Linked DNA regions of Macaca mulatta. The protein of the gene in region 4 binds, or shares a complex with, the protein of the main gene of each other region. Links are inferred from orthologs where the notes say so. Each region holds a gene or a part of one and is shown on either strand. Other genes may lie near its edges. The genes, in order: WDR59, NUP37, MIOS and SEH1L.

Region 1 (3,592 bases), on a different chromosome or scaffold from region 4:
TCTAAAAAAACATACAAAAATTAGCTGGGCATGGTGGTGCACGCCTGTAGTCCCAGCTACTTGGGAGGCAGAGGCAGGAGGATCACTTGAGCCAGGAGGTAAGGGCTGCAGTGAGCTATGATCATGCCACTGCACTCCAGCCTGGGTGACAGAGCCAGATCCTATCTTAAAAAAAAAAAAAAAATTTCGTTTCTGTTTTCCCAGTGCACTACTTACATAATGTTATAAAATTACACATTGTTTGGTAATATCAGAAGTGGCATATTAATGTTGTGAAACTACAGATGGTTTTTTTGTTATTTTTCCAGTTTTATTTAATGTTAAATTGAATAATAAAATAATCAAAAACAAATAATAAATAATATGCTAGCAATAGGGGAAAGGCATATTTAAAAACAATTTGCCTTGTTTTGACAAGAGCTTTTATCAATCTACTTCTTCTAATGGTTTGCTAATAACTGTACAGCAGAAATCTCAGCTTTCTTGCAACTTAATTGACTTCAATCTTTCTCAAATAAATCTTGTAATAGGAGTTTACTGAAGAACTAAAACGCATTGTCCAAAGACAAACTCCATGGTCCTTCCCAGGTCTCTGGCCACGGGAACGTAGAGTGGCTTCTGCATCTCCCGCACTCACCTCGGAGTAGGCTCTGTGGGAGACACCGCCCGATGCATCGTCATGGGCCTTGTGAAATACACCAGGTAACCTAAAGAAGAAGACATCACATGAGCCGTCAGCGTCAACAAGCTGGACGTGGGAAATCCTGAGGCAGGACTGGCCAGTCTTCTATCTCTGTATACCTGAGGGTAAGACACATTTTCATAAGCTGCAAGACTCACGACTGCGGTGACCCTTACCAAGAACAAAGGTCAGCACTCGAGTCCAGGAAAGAGGATGTAGGTGGACGGGGCAGAGTCATCAGCGGGACTCTAAGGCTCCCTACCAGGGGACTGTCCCCTGCTAAGACTCAGGGCTCTGAGTAAAGACTCAAACCCAAGCTCATCAGAATGAAGAAAGTTAAGACCACCAGAATGGTGCACACTCTTAGGATAAGTCCAGAGACCCCGACTGGACCTCACACCCTGCCACGCTACTATGAAAGTCTCGTTGGAGTTCTCTGGGAGTAAAAGCAAACATTTGTTGCTCAAGATGTTTATACAGAATCTATGGCATTCTTAGCTGCTCCCTCTCAAAATCTAGAATCAGAGAACCAAAGAGACCCACCTGCTCCACAGAACCTGGCCCCAGAAGTCCTAGGAAACGGAATGTTGGCATCCTGGTACGACCCGTAGGCTGTGGTCACACGAGCAAAAGTCGGTAACGGGGGTGTGACGGAGTTGGGGAGTGCAAACGGATTGCTGGAAGCGCTGTCTTCCTGGTTCTGAAATTTAAAATTCCATAAGCTAAAACCACAACCTGTCTTGAAGTTGAATTACAAAATAAGCACCCAGCAGGAAAAAAAAAAAAAGCCCATGATTTTAGGGAGAAAGAAATGAAACAAAACCCCAAAGCATAAGTTGGTACAACAGTTTCATGCTTCCCACCACAAAGGACTCGAGGCAGGAGACGAGCTGGCGCAGGCAGGGCTCCAGGCAGCTCTGGCCACGCTTCACTTTCTGCAGGGCCGTGTCCTTCAGGATCTAGAAAAGGCCCAAAACACAGTCAAGAAGAGGAACACATTTCTCTGACAGGCTATTCTGTTTTTTTTTTTTTTTTTTTTTGAGATAGAGTCTGTCTTTGTTGCCCAGGCTGGAGTGCAGTGGTGCGATCTCGGTTCATTGCAACCTCTGCCTCCTGTGTTCAAGTGATTCGCCTACCGAGTAGCTGGGAATACAGGCATGCGCCACCACGCCTGGCTACTTTTTGTATTTTTAGTAGAGATGGGGTTTCACCATGTTGCCCAGGCTGGTCTTGAACTCCTGACCTCAGGTGATCCATGCGCCTCGGCCACCCAAAGTGCTGAGATTACAGGAGTGAGCCACTGCACTGGGAAAAGGTCTGATTTTTCACAAAAAAAATTTGCAATCTAATCGTATCATTTTATACTAATAGAAAAATCTATCTTTTTTGTATGTCCAAACTAGGCAACGACATATTCAGATTCCAAGTTTAACATGTCAAATACCACAAGATCTGAGTTACTGGCATTTCAGAGATCCTTAAGCCACTTGAAAACGTCCTAGTTCCATGTGATACCCCAACAAAGCGTAACAATCAAGTGTCCACGACCCAAACCGGGCAAAAAATGAGCAACATTCAGGTTGGCCTGAGTTTGCCAAAAAAACTCCAGTCCCTTTACTTGTGACACTGCTCAAACTGAACAAGGGGTATGAAGAGGCTCATGGGGCTTTGTCATGGAGATTCCACCTGATTTGCTCTGGATGAACTGACACATCAAGTCTCTGAATCTGCAGAATTAAACACTGATGTCAGGCTGTGGCACCTCCATCTGGACACCCACTGTGCAGCTAGCCAGCCTACCTCTAGGATAACACCAGCTCCTTCTATGGGATAAAATTTTTTTTATGACCTTACACATGTTTTTTTCTAATTGTAAAATATCTTTTAGCTTCAGAATACATCTTGCTTGTTGTTTCCACATAAACGAAATTGGACTGCAGTGCTCCTAACCTGGACTCCTAAATGAAATTAGATTGCAAATCTCATAACCTGAGATGAATGCATAACGTTAATGAGATCTGTGGACAGATTATATGCAATTCACATATTTATAGGCAGTATTTCTCAAACCATATGCAATCATTGTGTAGATTTTTCTGAGGAAGGCCATGACCCAAAAAAGGTTAAGAACCACCGCTCTTATGTTTTCTACACAAACTAAATGGCAAGTGCAGAGGTTACGTTGCTAACACTAGTGTGTGTATGAAACAGATGACTTCTGAATCTCATCTACTAGAGTTTTCAGTCTTCTTTCCTACTCAGTCTAGACAATGATGCAGAACAGCAGGAGAATTTGGGAACCCAGACCCCTACCTTTAGCAGCTTAGCTTTCATGGTGGACGTGATGGTTGTGGGGTTAATAAACTGGAAGGAAGGGGCGGCGTTGTTTGGATACTGAGCAGGGAACTTCACCAGCATCTTGACGCGATGGTTGCTGCAGTGCACGGACACTGTGCAGCTCCTGTCTGCCGCATCCATCTGCAAGAGACAAATCCACAATGGCTTTGCAAACAAACCACAAAGCGTCTTTCGATGCACGTGCATTTAACTGAACGCTCCATGTTCCTAGTAATTGGGTGAAGGAAAAGACTCTACAAAGACAAATTTGTGTGGAAGACAATTCATTTTCAAAAAGATTCTTAAATTTTCATATCAGATTATTAAATTTTCATACCAATGGAATAAGCTGAAAGTTTTTTTTTTTCTTTGACACAGGGTCTCACTCTGTCGCCCAGGCTGGAGTGCAGTGTGGCACAATCTCAGCTCACTGCAACCTCCACCTTCTGGGTTCAAGTGATTCTCCCACCTCCTACCTCCCAAATACTGGGAATACAGGCAGGCGCCACCATGCCCAGGGAATCTTTTTGTTTTTTTGGTTTTTTTATTTTGTTTTGGTAGAGATGGAGTTTC
Region 2 (4,348 bases), on a different chromosome or scaffold from region 4:
GGAATGTGGAAATCTTTCCACTTAATTTACCTTTACTTAGTTTTCTCTCAAGACAAGAGGTATGAAACTGGGTGCAATGGAACTTGAAGGTTCTAGGATAACAGAATAGTAATAATGTTTAACAGTGTTTAGCTAGATAAAAAATAACTTCAAAGAAAAGCAATAATTTATTTTGAAATGGACTTACTTAATTGTATTTCCAATGTCTGGTGCAGAATATAATTTGTGTTTACTATTGTCCAAATTAATAAAAATCTAATTTTTTCCTTAGTAATTTGGGCATGAGACCTACATTGCTAATCTCACAGGTATGAGGGTCAACTGAGACAATACATGTGACCATAAAACATAACAGAACACAAATGTTTATACTAGTTCTTTTTTCTCACGTTGTCATTTTCCTTCTTTCTCCCATCTTCTCCCTCTCTCATCTTTGCCTTTCTCTTTTCCTAATTTGTTCTCCATTGACTTTCTCTCTCAACATTTCTTAATCATAAATGAGAGATAAACATTTTTCAGTGTTTTTGAATACAATTTTATGTTCAGTTATTAATTTTAGAAGTAATGAAGTAAAAATTAGTTTTACCTGTAGGAGGCTGCTTTACTCTTTTGTGCATTGGTGGCCTGCATTAGAGAAATGGTTTTTCCTCAGTCTTTTTCAAGTATGTAACATTGTTTTAATCATATAACTTTTTATGATCCTAAACCATGTCCATGTAAGTGAGGCTGAGGGTCATATTTAGTCTAAAAGGTAGTAATTTCTACCCCCCCACCCAAAGAGACAGTATGAAATAGCCTAGGAGCTGTCATATTCTACTCAGACAGCAACAAACTGAAACTTTTAATTCATACTTCCTCTTAAATATGACTATATTCCAATTTGTAAAGCTTTATATATTTATTGTGCTATAAAATGCCAAATTGCATTTCTGATGTCACAATACTGTAAGATTCAGAATTGCCGCTGGGCATGATGGCTCACGCCTGCAATCCCAGCACTTTGGGAAGCTGAGGCAGGCGGATCACGAGGTCAGGAGTTCAAGACCAGCCTGACCAACATGGTGAAACCCTGTCTCTACTAAAAATACAAAAAAGTTAGCTGGGCATGATGGCACGCACCGGTAATCCCAGCTACTCAGGAGGCTGAGGCAGGATAATCGCTTGAAGTCAGGAGGCAGAGGTTGCAGTGAGCAGAGATCGCACCACTGCACTCCAACCTGGGTGACACAGCAAGACTCCATATCAAAAAAAAAAAAAAAAAGATACAGAATTGCCTTTTCAGTAAAGGAGGAAATAACATTTATAATGATATAATATCACTTTAGTGATAGTTATTTTAAACCTTAGAAAATTGGACACTTCCAAATTACCGTATTAATTATAATTTGAGAAATACAGTTCTATTAATAATATTCTGATAGGCCAGGAAGGGTGGCTCACACCTGTAATCCCAGCACTTTGGGAGGCCAAGGTGGGCAGATGACATGAGGTCTGGAGTTCGAGACCAGTCTGGCCAACATCATGAAACCCCCTACTAAAAATACAAAAATTAGCTGGGGGTGGTGGCGCATGCCTGTAATCCCAACTACTCAGGAGGCTGAGGCAGGAGAATCAATTGAACCCAGGAGATGAAGGCTGTAGTGAGCCAAGGTCACACCAGTGCACTCCAGCCTGGGCGACCAAGCAAGACTCTGTCTCAAAAATAATAATAATAATAAAAATAATAATATTCTGACAGACAAAAGATTAGCCAGATAGTCCTGACGCTTGAACCTTTGTTGTTCAAAGTCTCTCTTACATGTAAAACTAGTTTTCCTCTGCGAAAACATGGTGTATGTTCACCACAAAGCAATGTTACTTTGGTGATTAAATCTGAGAGTATTACCATTGCCCATATCAATGACAACTAAAACATATATATGGATCACAGTGTTGTCAGATGCCCTCTCGGAAGTTTACACATACTAAAATTTGAGCAGTTTTCCTCTTTTTTACAGGAGAGGCTAAATATCTTATTCAAGGTCTCATAGCTAGTAAGAAGTAAGTAAAGCAGGAGTAAACATGTAGGCATTCTAGTTCTAGAATTCACGCTCTTAATAGCGATGCTTAACTGCCTCCTCAATTAATAAGACTCCATACTCTGCATACTTCAGATGCACAAAAAGTATGACAGCATACTAATAGGAAAGCTGAATATTATAAAAGCTATAAAATCTCCTGGAAGATCATTTTCCAGGCTCTCAATATTAGCTGGTTTCGTATGTCAAAGCAGGATGTAGAAAAACCGTAATTAATTGGATCTCATTTATATTGTTTTTTTCCTGTACATACCATTGTTCAGTTAATCATAGCCTTCAGTTATCAGAATATTCCATTAATGATCATGAAGCAAAAGAGAAGCCTCATACTATTCTTTTTCACTATCTATATAATGTTTACATAAATCTCAGGCACATATAACTGGGAACATCTTTCTCTATGGGCGTTATCTTTTTTTTTTTAACATTCAAACTCAATATACTTTCAAAGTTTAGATTTGGTTTGTGTAAGTTCTCTTATCAGTGAAATATGTTCACTGTCATTCGGTGCAGTTTTGTAGACTAACCTGAAACGTACACGTGCCAATGACCACATAATTATTGCCACCATATGCAATTAGGTTTCCTGAATCCCCATTCTCAAAGGGATTAAATTCTACCACATGCACATAATCTTCACAATCCACAGTGTAGGCAGCATTTCTTGAGGCATCTTGCTTCATCTTGTATGTCAAAATTCAAGCAGTTGTGAAAATTAAATAGCCTTCTACTGGACAAGGTCACGAAACTGTGGATTACAGCACAGGTACAATTAGAATGGTTGAAGTGTTAGTCATTAAACAAATGCATCAAAATAAGGTTGTGGTGTTACAATGAGACAGAAAGCTCAAAAGAAACATTTAAAGTCCTTATCAAGGGACAGAAACTGAAGGAAAAATATTAAATCTAGTTATTAATGGTTCCACATTGGCTCTACAGCTTTTTCCCGTATCTGTGATTCTAGCAGACAAAAACACCATAAAGTTCTGTTTAGATTATCTAAAACAAAAAGTATTCCATCTGAAGATGGAATCATTTTAATAGCAAATATGTTAATAAAAATAACCTTTATGAACCACTATTTGCAGGTGCCACATTAAGGATTTCACTGACATGACCACATCTAGTATCTGTACAAATCTAAAGGCAGGTACTACCTCTGGTCTCCATTTTGCAGATGGAGAAACTGTAGCTTCAGTAGGTTAACTAACTTGCCAAGCTTGTAAGCAGGGCCAGGATTTGGAAGACTTCATTGTGTGTGGAGAACCAGTGCTAATGAAGAAAAAAACAGCCTTCTGGCTTAAAGGAGACCACAATTTAGCGATAGTTATGACTCAACGTGAAAAGGGCTACAATATAAACAGATACAAAATACAGGATCTGTTGTAAGGAGTGCCAAAATTTGTGATACAAAAATAATGTTCGGGGGGTTGGGGGAAGGGAGAGCATCAGGATAAATAGCTAATGCATGTGGAGCTTAATACTTAGGTGATGGGTTGACAAGCGCAGTAAACCACCATAGCACACGTTTACCTTTGTAATAAACCTACACGTCCCGCACACGTATCCCGGAACTTAAAATAAAATTTAAAATAGTAATATTCTTAAAACTAGGCACAAGACTTTAACTAACCGTCAGGGACTAGTGTGCACTCTGGAAGTAGCATTCCCACAGGAGAATTATGGGTTTTAGAGTTTTTGGTTTTTTTAAAAAATTCGACACAAGCGTTGTCCTGAAAACAGACGGGCTCCGTAACAAACATATCAAGCATTTTAACAATATCTACTGAAAATCAGATGAGTCCCACCTCGAGACGCTTATAAACTAGTAACCTTAGGAATGGACATCCGGGACTGAAAACTTGTTAAGGGTGACCAGCAAGTGTTAGGGACATGGAGGCAGAGAGGTATAGGAAGTGCAAGAGATTCGAGGTCAGGATATTGTGCAGTTCCCACACCTACTGCTCATTAAAGCAGTGCCCAGGGCCTCACCATACACATTCGGCAGGACTTGCCCCTGTAAAACTAGAAGGGCAGAGAAGAAGGGAGGGAACAAGATAACTCCCTGCAATGAGCCCCGACACCTCTCCCGGGCCAGGCGAGTTCCTCAAGACCCCGCTCCCACCTCCCGGGGCCCGAGGTGGGAAGGAAAAACTCCTGGGGATAGAATGGCAGGGCTGGGCGGCCGGCAGAAAAGCATCACGGCCTCTTGGGCTCCCCGCTCGATACCCACCGCAGAGCGCCAGGAACCGACCAGAGACAAGCCGGTC
Region 3 (4,175 bases), on a different chromosome or scaffold from region 4:
GACCCAGTGAGCTAGAGTGTGCGACCCTGCTTGAAAACGGCAGAGTGGTTCTGAGAAGCAGTCCCAGCCTAGGAACCCGGGGATCCGGCCTGTGGACCCACGGGCGGGGCCAGCGGGGTGCACAGGCGCTTTCGGGCGGAAGGCGGGGCCTCCCGGCCAGTGACCCCGCCCCGAGGCGCCTACCGGGCGGGGGAGGGCGGGACTCGCGGCGGGAAACTCCCCTTCCAAGGCGCGGCTGCGCGTCCCCGAGGCGTGGTGGTAGGGTCGTGGGCCCCAGCCCAGTGGTCCAGGTCACGGGCCGCGCCGCCGCGGCCGCCATCTTGCCCGCGTCCGGGCGCCTGCGGCAGGAGGGGCGGTGTCCCGGCCGGAAGCGGCTGTGCGGCGGCCGCGCTGCCACCTCAGGTCAGTGAGTTCGACCCGGCCCGCGTCTCGGGTCTCGGGAGCGCAGCGGCCGCAGCTAGGGGCCCGAGATAGCCTAGTTGAAAGGCTCGGGCGTCTGGGCGGGGAGCGCGTTCCGCGCTGTGGGGTAATCGCGCCGGGCGGCCAGCCGGTCGGGCCTCCGCGGGAGCCACCGGGGGCTGCGGGCGGCCGCGGGACCTGCGGGGACCTCCTCGGGGCGCAGAGGCCACGCTACAGCCTTCACCGCGGCAGGCTTGTGGGGAGCGGCGTCCCCGCCTTTCCCGGGAGGCTCAGCCAGGTGCTTGAAGCGGGAGAGTCGGATTCAGACTCCTGCTTTACCTGGAATAGCAACGTGCCCTGTTGCCATTGTACCCTCTTAAATACTGTACTTCTTAAACGGCCTATCTCCCGGTGAGCTCTGTTCTCTTCACATACGAGTAGTGAAAATTCCTTAAGAGGATGAATGAAACCTCACACATGTGGACTTTGCTGAATTGGTTAGCAAATGACTGCTTTTGCAGGCCTTTTGTATATTTTAAGGGAAATTTGGGTATGTGCAGTGCATCTCCTGGAAGATGCTGATGGTGGAAATTTCTTGAAACCGCTCTCGTAATTTGCCATGGTAAGAAAAGTAAAAGACAGCATCAAAAAGCATGTGATTGGATACTTTGTACACTTAGTAGTATTGTAATGTGTTGGACTTCACTGTCCAGTAGCCACATGGTATTGAGATGTGCTGTAAGTGTAAAATACACATCGGATTTCCCAGAGTTGGTGCCAGAAAAAATGTCAAAATCCTCACTAATAATTTTTGCATTGATTACATATTGAAAGGATAATGCCGTTGATATGTTGGTTAAATAAAATATGTTTTTAAATTTAATTCCACCTATTTTTACTTTTTAGATGTGACTACTGGAAATTTTTAAATCATATGGCTCACACTGTATTTCTTTTGGACAGTGCTGTTACAGATATTCTGATGAATAAACACAGAATGAGCATGGCTTTCCTTTGCTGATAAGTCACTGATGGGAAGTGAGACTTGTTAAACTTGAAAGGTGAGGATATAAATACAAGCTATACTTATTGCAAACCGCACCCCTTCTGCACCTAATTTTTTAATGTCTCCAACATTTGGAAAAAACATTAACTTTCAGGGCTGATTACGGGAATGGTAGTGATACTAACATCTATGTGATGTGAAGAGTTCATTTCAGTTGATGTCACAACTTTGTGAGATGGAAATGGGATAGATTTTATCTCGGTTTATGGTTTTGGAGTATTACAAGATTTGTTAGGATTTGAACTGGGGAGTGGCTGTAGGATTTCTGACTCTATATTGTTTTCTTTACACCAGATTCTTGGTGATGTATGTTCATGATCAAGGAACTGTTTATCCTGTGTATTAGATGGTGAAAAAAGTACACTTCTTAAAAGGGTGGACATAGATGCACCTCTCTATACAGGGTTACTCTTATAATGTGCAACCTGTGCAGTAGCGCATAGTCCAGCATTTATAATGGCTAGCACTTATTTTAATGGCTAGTCTGCTATCACTGTCTTGACTTTTTAAATAAGGGGCCCTGCATTTTTATTTTGCACCACGCCTTGCGTATTGTGTAGCTGATCCTTTCTCTTTGCAGTAATCTAGGATGGAAGTTGAGAGACCCTGGACAAGCACCCAAACATCTGGTCTTCACTTTACTGTTACGTAAAGTGAGAAGAATTAGTCTTTTTCTCTCAAGTTTTGATTCTGTATGAATTACTGTCATCAGATTTAGTGGATGGCAGTATAAATATTTTAGGTGCATGACAATGGAAGAAATGCTGATATTCTCCGTTGAGAGTCATGTGAATCAAAGTTCTAAAATTTACGCTACAACTCGTATTTTGTGTTTTGTAAGATGGATTTTTCTATGTGGCATCAAAATTGCTTACCATAGACCATTGGTATAAAGAGTAGGGTTGTGGAATGAAGGCCTGAAGAGTGTGTTTATTTAAACATTGATTTTTCAATGAGATGGGAAAATGGGGCAGATCTCATGATGTCAATTAAGAGGTTTCCTTTGTGGTGGTATGAGTGTGAAACCTTACTTGGCAGTATCTGTTCCTTTTCTTTGCTGTCATAGCTGCTGCCTATCACATGAGGTGCCCCTTTTCCTCCTCATTCTTAAATTTTTTAACCTCTTTAAGGTTGGGCTTAATTTTATCACTATAGTGCAGGTTTTTTTTTAGACCAGAGACTTCATCTGCTCATGTTTGCTGCTGTGTTCCCAGCTTTATGACAGCGCCTAGAACATAGAAGGTGCCCAATCTTACAGAATAAATGAAGTATGATAGCAGACACTTAAATATTGGCTGGAGCCAGCCTCTCCTATGAAGGGTAGAAGTGGAAGCATGAGGAAATAGGTAAAACTTGGAGATACCAGTTGTGAGAAGTGTCAGAGGGATCATTCAACACATGCATTTATTTAACAAATGTTTATTAAACTTCCTACTGAGTGTCTAGCACTGTACTGGGGACTAGAGGTACAGTGGAACACAAAAAAATACTTCACCTGCTCTCATGGAGTGTATAATCCAGTAGAAGAGACAGAAATGGATGATTAAAGGGAAAGAATACTGTTTAATGACAGTGTATGTCTGAGTAACCTGACCTCGACTAGGGAGGGGATGGAGGGTGGTTGATGTCAAGGTTGAGCAGGTATTAACTTGACCCAGAAGGCAGAGAACTATGCTTTAACCAGAGGAAACATCATTTGCAAAGGTATGGTGATGGGGGAGGAGGGTATACTCTAGGAATTGAAAAGGACAGTGTAAAAGGACAGCAAGAATGTTGTGCCACAAGGCCGATGCAGTAGGCAGAGACCAAAAGCATTTAGGGTTTTGTAGGTTAGGTTGAAGATTTGGAATGCTATAATAAGAGCAGCTGGAGACCATTAGAGGGTTTTAAGCAAGGAAGGATAGCCTGGTCAAAGTTGTGTTGTAGAAAGATTTTTACTCTGATATTCTATAAAGCAATATTTCCGAAGGGCCCAGGGGAAAGATGAATAAAAGAAAAACTGCCAGCACCGCACACCAGATATGTTGTATACCTTAATTTACTGAAATCAGTTTTCAGAGGCTTGAGACTATCCTCAGTGTGGTAGCACTTGGAAGCCTGAATGAGGAGACAAGATGATAAATAATTGGGTAAATGACTGGCAAACGGCAAACCCAAAGTGACAAGTAAATGAAGACATTGAGGGTGCTAGTAAGAATATAATTGAAATGATTGATCTTGGGCTTGAGAAATGCTAAAGAAGGAAATAAAATCAGTATAAGAATTCCTTAATCAGCAGTCCCCAACCTTTTTGGCACCAGGGACCGGTTTCATGGAAGACAGTTTTCTCACAGACGAGGGATGGGGTGGTTTCAGGATGATTCAAGCGCATTACATTTATTGTGCACTTTATTTACATTGCACTATATAATGAAATAATTATACAACTCACCATAATGTAGAATCAGTGGGAGCCCTGAGCTTGTTTTCCTGCAACTAGATGGTCCCATATGGGTGTGATAGGAGACAGTGACAGATCATCAGACATTAGATTCTCACAAGGAATGCACAACCTAGATCCCTGTCATGTGCAGTTCACAGTAGGGTTTGCACTGCTGTGAGAAACTGATACTGCTATTGATCTGACAGGAGGTGGAGCTCAGGCGGCAGTGTGTGAGATGAGTGGCTCTAAGTAACAGATGAAGCTTTGCTCCCTTGCCTGCTGCTCACC
Region 4 (3,592 bases):
CACCACGGGAAGAGACCAGCTGTAGATAGTGATGTGGGGAGACACAGGACGGTGTGAACCTATATTATTATTCCAGAACCGCTCTTATCTCTTCTTTTGCCGTGGTTCCCACGGGAACAGCATTTCTGATACAGAGCTGAGGGCCAAAGTGGGCTTGGAGGTAATGACAACCAACACGTCTCAGCAAGAGTGCAGCCATCTCGGGTTTCTTTTTTTTTTTTTTGCAACAGAGCCTCACTCTGTTGCCCAGGCTGGAGTGCAGTGGTGTAATCTCAGCTCACTGCAATCTCTGCCTCCTGGGCTCAAGCCATCCTCCCACCTCAGCCTCCTAAGCAGCTGGGACTACGGGTGTGCACCACCACGCCCAGCTATTTTTGTGTTTTGTGTAGAGGTGGGGTCTTGCTGTGTTGCCCAGGCTGGTCTTGAACTACTGGGTTGAAGCATTTCTTCCACTTCAGCCTCCCAAAATGCTGGGATTACAGGTGTGAGCCACTGTGGCCAGCCAAGACCTTATTCTAGTTAAATTTTTATTAAACCATTTCAAGCTCAGTGTACATTATCAGAGGAGGAAACATGGGAGGTTGTATTAATTTCCTAGGGCTACCATAACAAATTACCACAAATCAGGTGTCTTAACACAGAATGTATTCCCTCAGTTCTGGAGGCCGGAAGTCTGAAATCGAGGTGTCGGCGGGGCTGTGCTTCCTCTGGAATCCTTCCTGGTCTAGTCCAGCTCCTGCTGGCTCCAGTTCTTTGCCTTGTGGCAGCAAGACTCCAATCTCTGCCTCTGTGTTCACATGGCCGCCTCCTCTGTGTCTCTACGTCTCTCCTCTTCTTTTTTAAGGATACTTACTGCACATTGGATTTAGGACCCACCCTAAATCTAGGATGTCATTCTGAGGTCCTTAATTACGTTTTCAAAGACCTTTTTTGAATAAGGTTACGTTCACAGGTTCTGGGGGTCAGGACCACTGTTGAGCCCACTACAGAGGTGAGCGCTACATGACTGTGAGCAGTATGAAAAAGGTGCGATGCAGTGATGTGTGCATCTTTGTACATTTTATTTCTAAAATGTTTAAATTGTTTGTTTTTCCATTAGGAAATATGCAAAAGCTGAAACTCTTATGACAGTCACTGATCCCGTTCATGATATTGCATTCGCTCCAAACTTGGGAAGATCTTTCCATATTCTAGCAATAGCAACCAAAGATGTGAGAATTTTTACATTAAAACCTGTGAGGTGAGTTTTCGAAGCATTTATGAATTTGAAAATACTCTTGCCTCCTGATTACCTTTGTTTGTGGAGGAGAGAGTAGAGGTAACTATGATTTGGTTTATATTTCTGCTCTGGAAGTTTTACTTAAAAATGTAAACTCTGAAATATTTTTAAAAAATGGTCTTTTACAATTACTTTTAAATTAATGTCATTTTTGAAGAATGGATTATTGAATGAACATTTTATATATAAATATATGTCTTTTTGGAAAGAGGAATTGAGTAAAGAGTAGATTTATATTCTCTTAATTGTGCTTTATTTAGGCTAATACTAACAATTCTCCCAATATAACTGATATTCTATAAATATTTAATGACAAGTGGCAGTCTATTTAGGGAAAACTAAATTAGTATTGATACAGTCTTGTGAATAACATATTTAACTTTAATTTTGAATTGTGAATTCCAGTTCTTTTCTTTCTGTTCTTTCATTCTTTCCTACTTGCTGCCCTGCCCTTTTTTTTTTTTTTTTTTTTTTTTGAGGCAAGATCTCGCTTCATTGCCCAGGCTGGAGGGCAGTGACATGATCTTGGCTCAGTGCAACCTCTACCTGCCAGGTTCAAGCAATTCTTATGCCTCAGCCTCCTGAGTAGCTGGGACTACAGGTGCCCGCCACCACGCCTGGCTAATTTTTTATTTTGTATTTTTAGTAGGGACGGGGTTTCGCCATGTTGGCCAGGCTGATCTTGAACTCCTGTCCTCAAGTGATCTGTCCATCTTGGCCTCCCAAAGTGCTGGGATTACAGGTGTGAGCCACTGCACTTGGCCTTGCCCTGCCTTTTAAAATTAATTATTGTCATCTGTTTTATTCCTCGGCCTTGTGTGGGAGAATAAAATCATCCTGTTTTGTTGTTTCTTTCTTCCATGAAACAGTCACTGAATATCGTTTATGTGCTGGGATCACTCCAGGCCTTGGCGAGTTAAATGGAAATGACATTGGCCCAGCTCAAGGGCCAAGGGTGGGGTTTATGCAGATGAGTACATTATTATAAAGTGATGTGGTGGTGAGACCACTTGTACTAATTTAGAATTTTATATGTGTGTGTGTGTGTATTTTAAAACTTTGCTTAGAATGCCTCAGAAAATGTTTTTTATTAACAGGAAAGAACTGACTTCCTCTGGTGGGCCAACAAAGTTTGAAATCCATATAGTGGCTCAGTTTGATAATCATAATTCTCAGGTCTGGCGAGTGAGTTGGAATATAACAGGAACAGTGCTAGCATCTTCAGGAGATGATGGCTGTGTAAGATTGTGGAAAGGTAAGATTTCAGTGGAGGGGTAATTGTTGGTTTATATTTCTGCTCTGGAGTTTTTACTTAAAAATGTAAACTCTGAAATATTTTTTAAAAATGGTCTTTTACGGTTACTTTTAATGTCATATTAATTTATGTTATTTCGAACATCAGTTTACCTAGTTCATAGCAGTTAATCACTGAATTGTTTTTCAAGTTATATGGAACAGAGCAACTTTTAAAACTAAAGTAATTACTACAGAATATGCAGTATCTCCAGTAAAAAGATACCAGTTGTCATATATGTACCTTACTTGACTGCTCTACAGACTCAGGCTAGGACTATAGTCGCTCTTATTTTATCAAATAGATTACTTTAGACAATCAGTCCTTAATAGGAGAAAATCCAGTATCTTCCCTGCTTTGTGCAAACGTTAAGAGCCTTGGGGCCCTGATTGTAAGCTTTTTATAAGTGCCAGGCTGAGTGAGAAGGTCTGGACAGTTGACACTGACTGTGGTCTCTGTAGCGTGGTTCTGCACTGCTTTTTGGATGATTATCTGTTGGGCAGAGATTTCTGTGATTTGTGCACCACCATAATGAATGGTGTCCCATACTTAGCATTCAAAATTATAGCTGTCTTAGTTTATTTACTCTTTAGCAGTTACTGTTTCCCAAAGTGCAGTTTGGGTAAGCTTGAGGGCCTCCCATGTTCGATTTTGGGCTTTGGCAAAACCAGCTCAGACCTTCCTTTCTTCAGTGTAATTTGATTTCAAGGGCTTTGTTGTCCTTTTCTGCCTCTGGGCTTTAGTCTGGACCACCTTGCCATGCTCCCCAGCAGGCTGCCTAACTTGATTTTCTTGGGCTCATTGTCTTCAGAGACCAATTTTGCATTCAAACTAATAAGGCCATTTTGGATAAGCCACTCAATCTCCATCCATTTCAGAAGACATTAGGTACCCATACAACTTATACTTGCATAATTAAGAAGACAATTTCATTACCTTACATATGTAAGTGAAATTCATTATAATGAAGACTTTAATATTATAATGGAGATTTTAATATTAATTTCATAATGTGATAA

The links.
Region 1: the proteins of SEH1L (region 4) and WDR59 are in contact, whole or in part, in a cryo-EM structure (PDB 7UHY), measured with the Homo sapiens proteins. The link is inferred for Macaca mulatta from reciprocal best matches to the Homo sapiens genes SEH1L and WDR59. Residues at the interface, in NP_112493.2 of Homo sapiens: Asn308, Tyr309, Met310, Asn312, Lys314; in NP_085058.3 of Homo sapiens: Pro713, Asp714, Glu716, Thr717, Pro718, Arg721, Arg837, Glu840, Gln843, His844, Asn847.
Region 2: SEH1L (region 4) and NUP37 share a complex: the UniProt entries of both Homo sapiens proteins name them as parts of the nup107-160 subcomplex of the nuclear pore complex. The link is inferred for Macaca mulatta from reciprocal best matches to the Homo sapiens genes SEH1L and NUP37.
Region 3: the proteins of SEH1L (region 4) and MIOS are in contact, whole or in part, in a cryo-EM structure (PDB 7UHY), measured with the Homo sapiens proteins. The link is inferred for Macaca mulatta from reciprocal best matches to the Homo sapiens genes SEH1L and MIOS. Residues at the interface, in NP_112493.2 of Homo sapiens: Met1, Phe2, Val3, Ala4, Arg5, Ser6, Ile7, Ala9, His11, Lys12, Asp13, Leu14, Ile15, His16, Asp17, Val18, Phe20, Phe22, His23, Gly24, Arg25, Met27, Trp47, Ser173, Ser174, Ser175, Asn230, Leu231, Gly232, Arg233; in NP_001357005.1 of Homo sapiens: Arg279, Arg316, Ser317, Phe353, Glu354, Arg355, Ile356, Ser357, Leu358, Ala359, Trp360, Pro362, Leu366, Met367, Trp368, Ala369, Cys370, Gly371, Arg372, Leu374, Tyr375, Glu376, Cys377, Thr378, Glu379, Glu380, Glu387, Asp389, Ile390, Ala391.

Annotation. Positions count from the first base shown.
Region 1 is NC_133425.1:70,223,397-70,226,988, forward strand, and holds part of WDR59 (GATOR2 complex protein WDR59), read right to left. Parts: intron 3,161-3,592; coding exon 2,996-3,160; intron 1,642-2,995; coding exon 1,546-1,641; intron 1,383-1,545; coding exon 1,226-1,382; intron 708-1,225; coding exon 638-707; intron 1-637. UniProt on the Homo sapiens protein: As a component of the GATOR2 complex, functions as an activator of the amino acid-sensing branch of the mTORC1 signaling pathway. The GATOR2 complex indirectly activates mTORC1 through the inhibition of the GATOR1 subcomplex.
Region 2 is NC_133416.1:109,432,175-109,436,522, forward strand, and holds the start of NUP37 (nucleoporin Nup37), read right to left. Parts: upstream 2,820-4,348; 5' UTR 2,762-2,819; coding exon 2,606-2,761; intron 1-2,605. UniProt on the Homo sapiens protein: Component of the Nup107-160 subcomplex of the nuclear pore complex (NPC). The Nup107-160 subcomplex is required for the assembly of a functional NPC.
Region 3 is NC_133408.1:120,948,038-120,952,212, reverse strand, and holds the start of MIOS (GATOR2 complex protein MIOS), read left to right. Parts: upstream 1-1,359; 5' UTR 1,360-1,460; intron 1,461-4,175. UniProt on the Homo sapiens protein: As a component of the GATOR2 complex, functions as an activator of the amino acid-sensing branch of the mTORC1 signaling pathway. The GATOR2 complex indirectly activates mTORC1 through the inhibition of the GATOR1 subcomplex.
Region 4 is NC_133423.1:83,645,147-83,648,738, forward strand, and holds part of SEH1L (nucleoporin SEH1), read left to right. Parts: coding exon of another isoform or gene 1-19; intron 20-122; coding exon of another isoform or gene 123-199; exon of another isoform or gene 200-332; intron 333-1,099; coding exon 1,100-1,240; intron 1,241-2,376; coding exon 2,377-2,534; intron 2,535-3,592. Other genes in the region: succinate dehydrogenase cytochrome b560 subunit, mitochondrial-like, read right to left, coding at 1-19, 123-199. UniProt on the Homo sapiens protein: Component of the Nup107-160 subcomplex of the nuclear pore complex (NPC). The Nup107-160 subcomplex is required for the assembly of a functional NPC.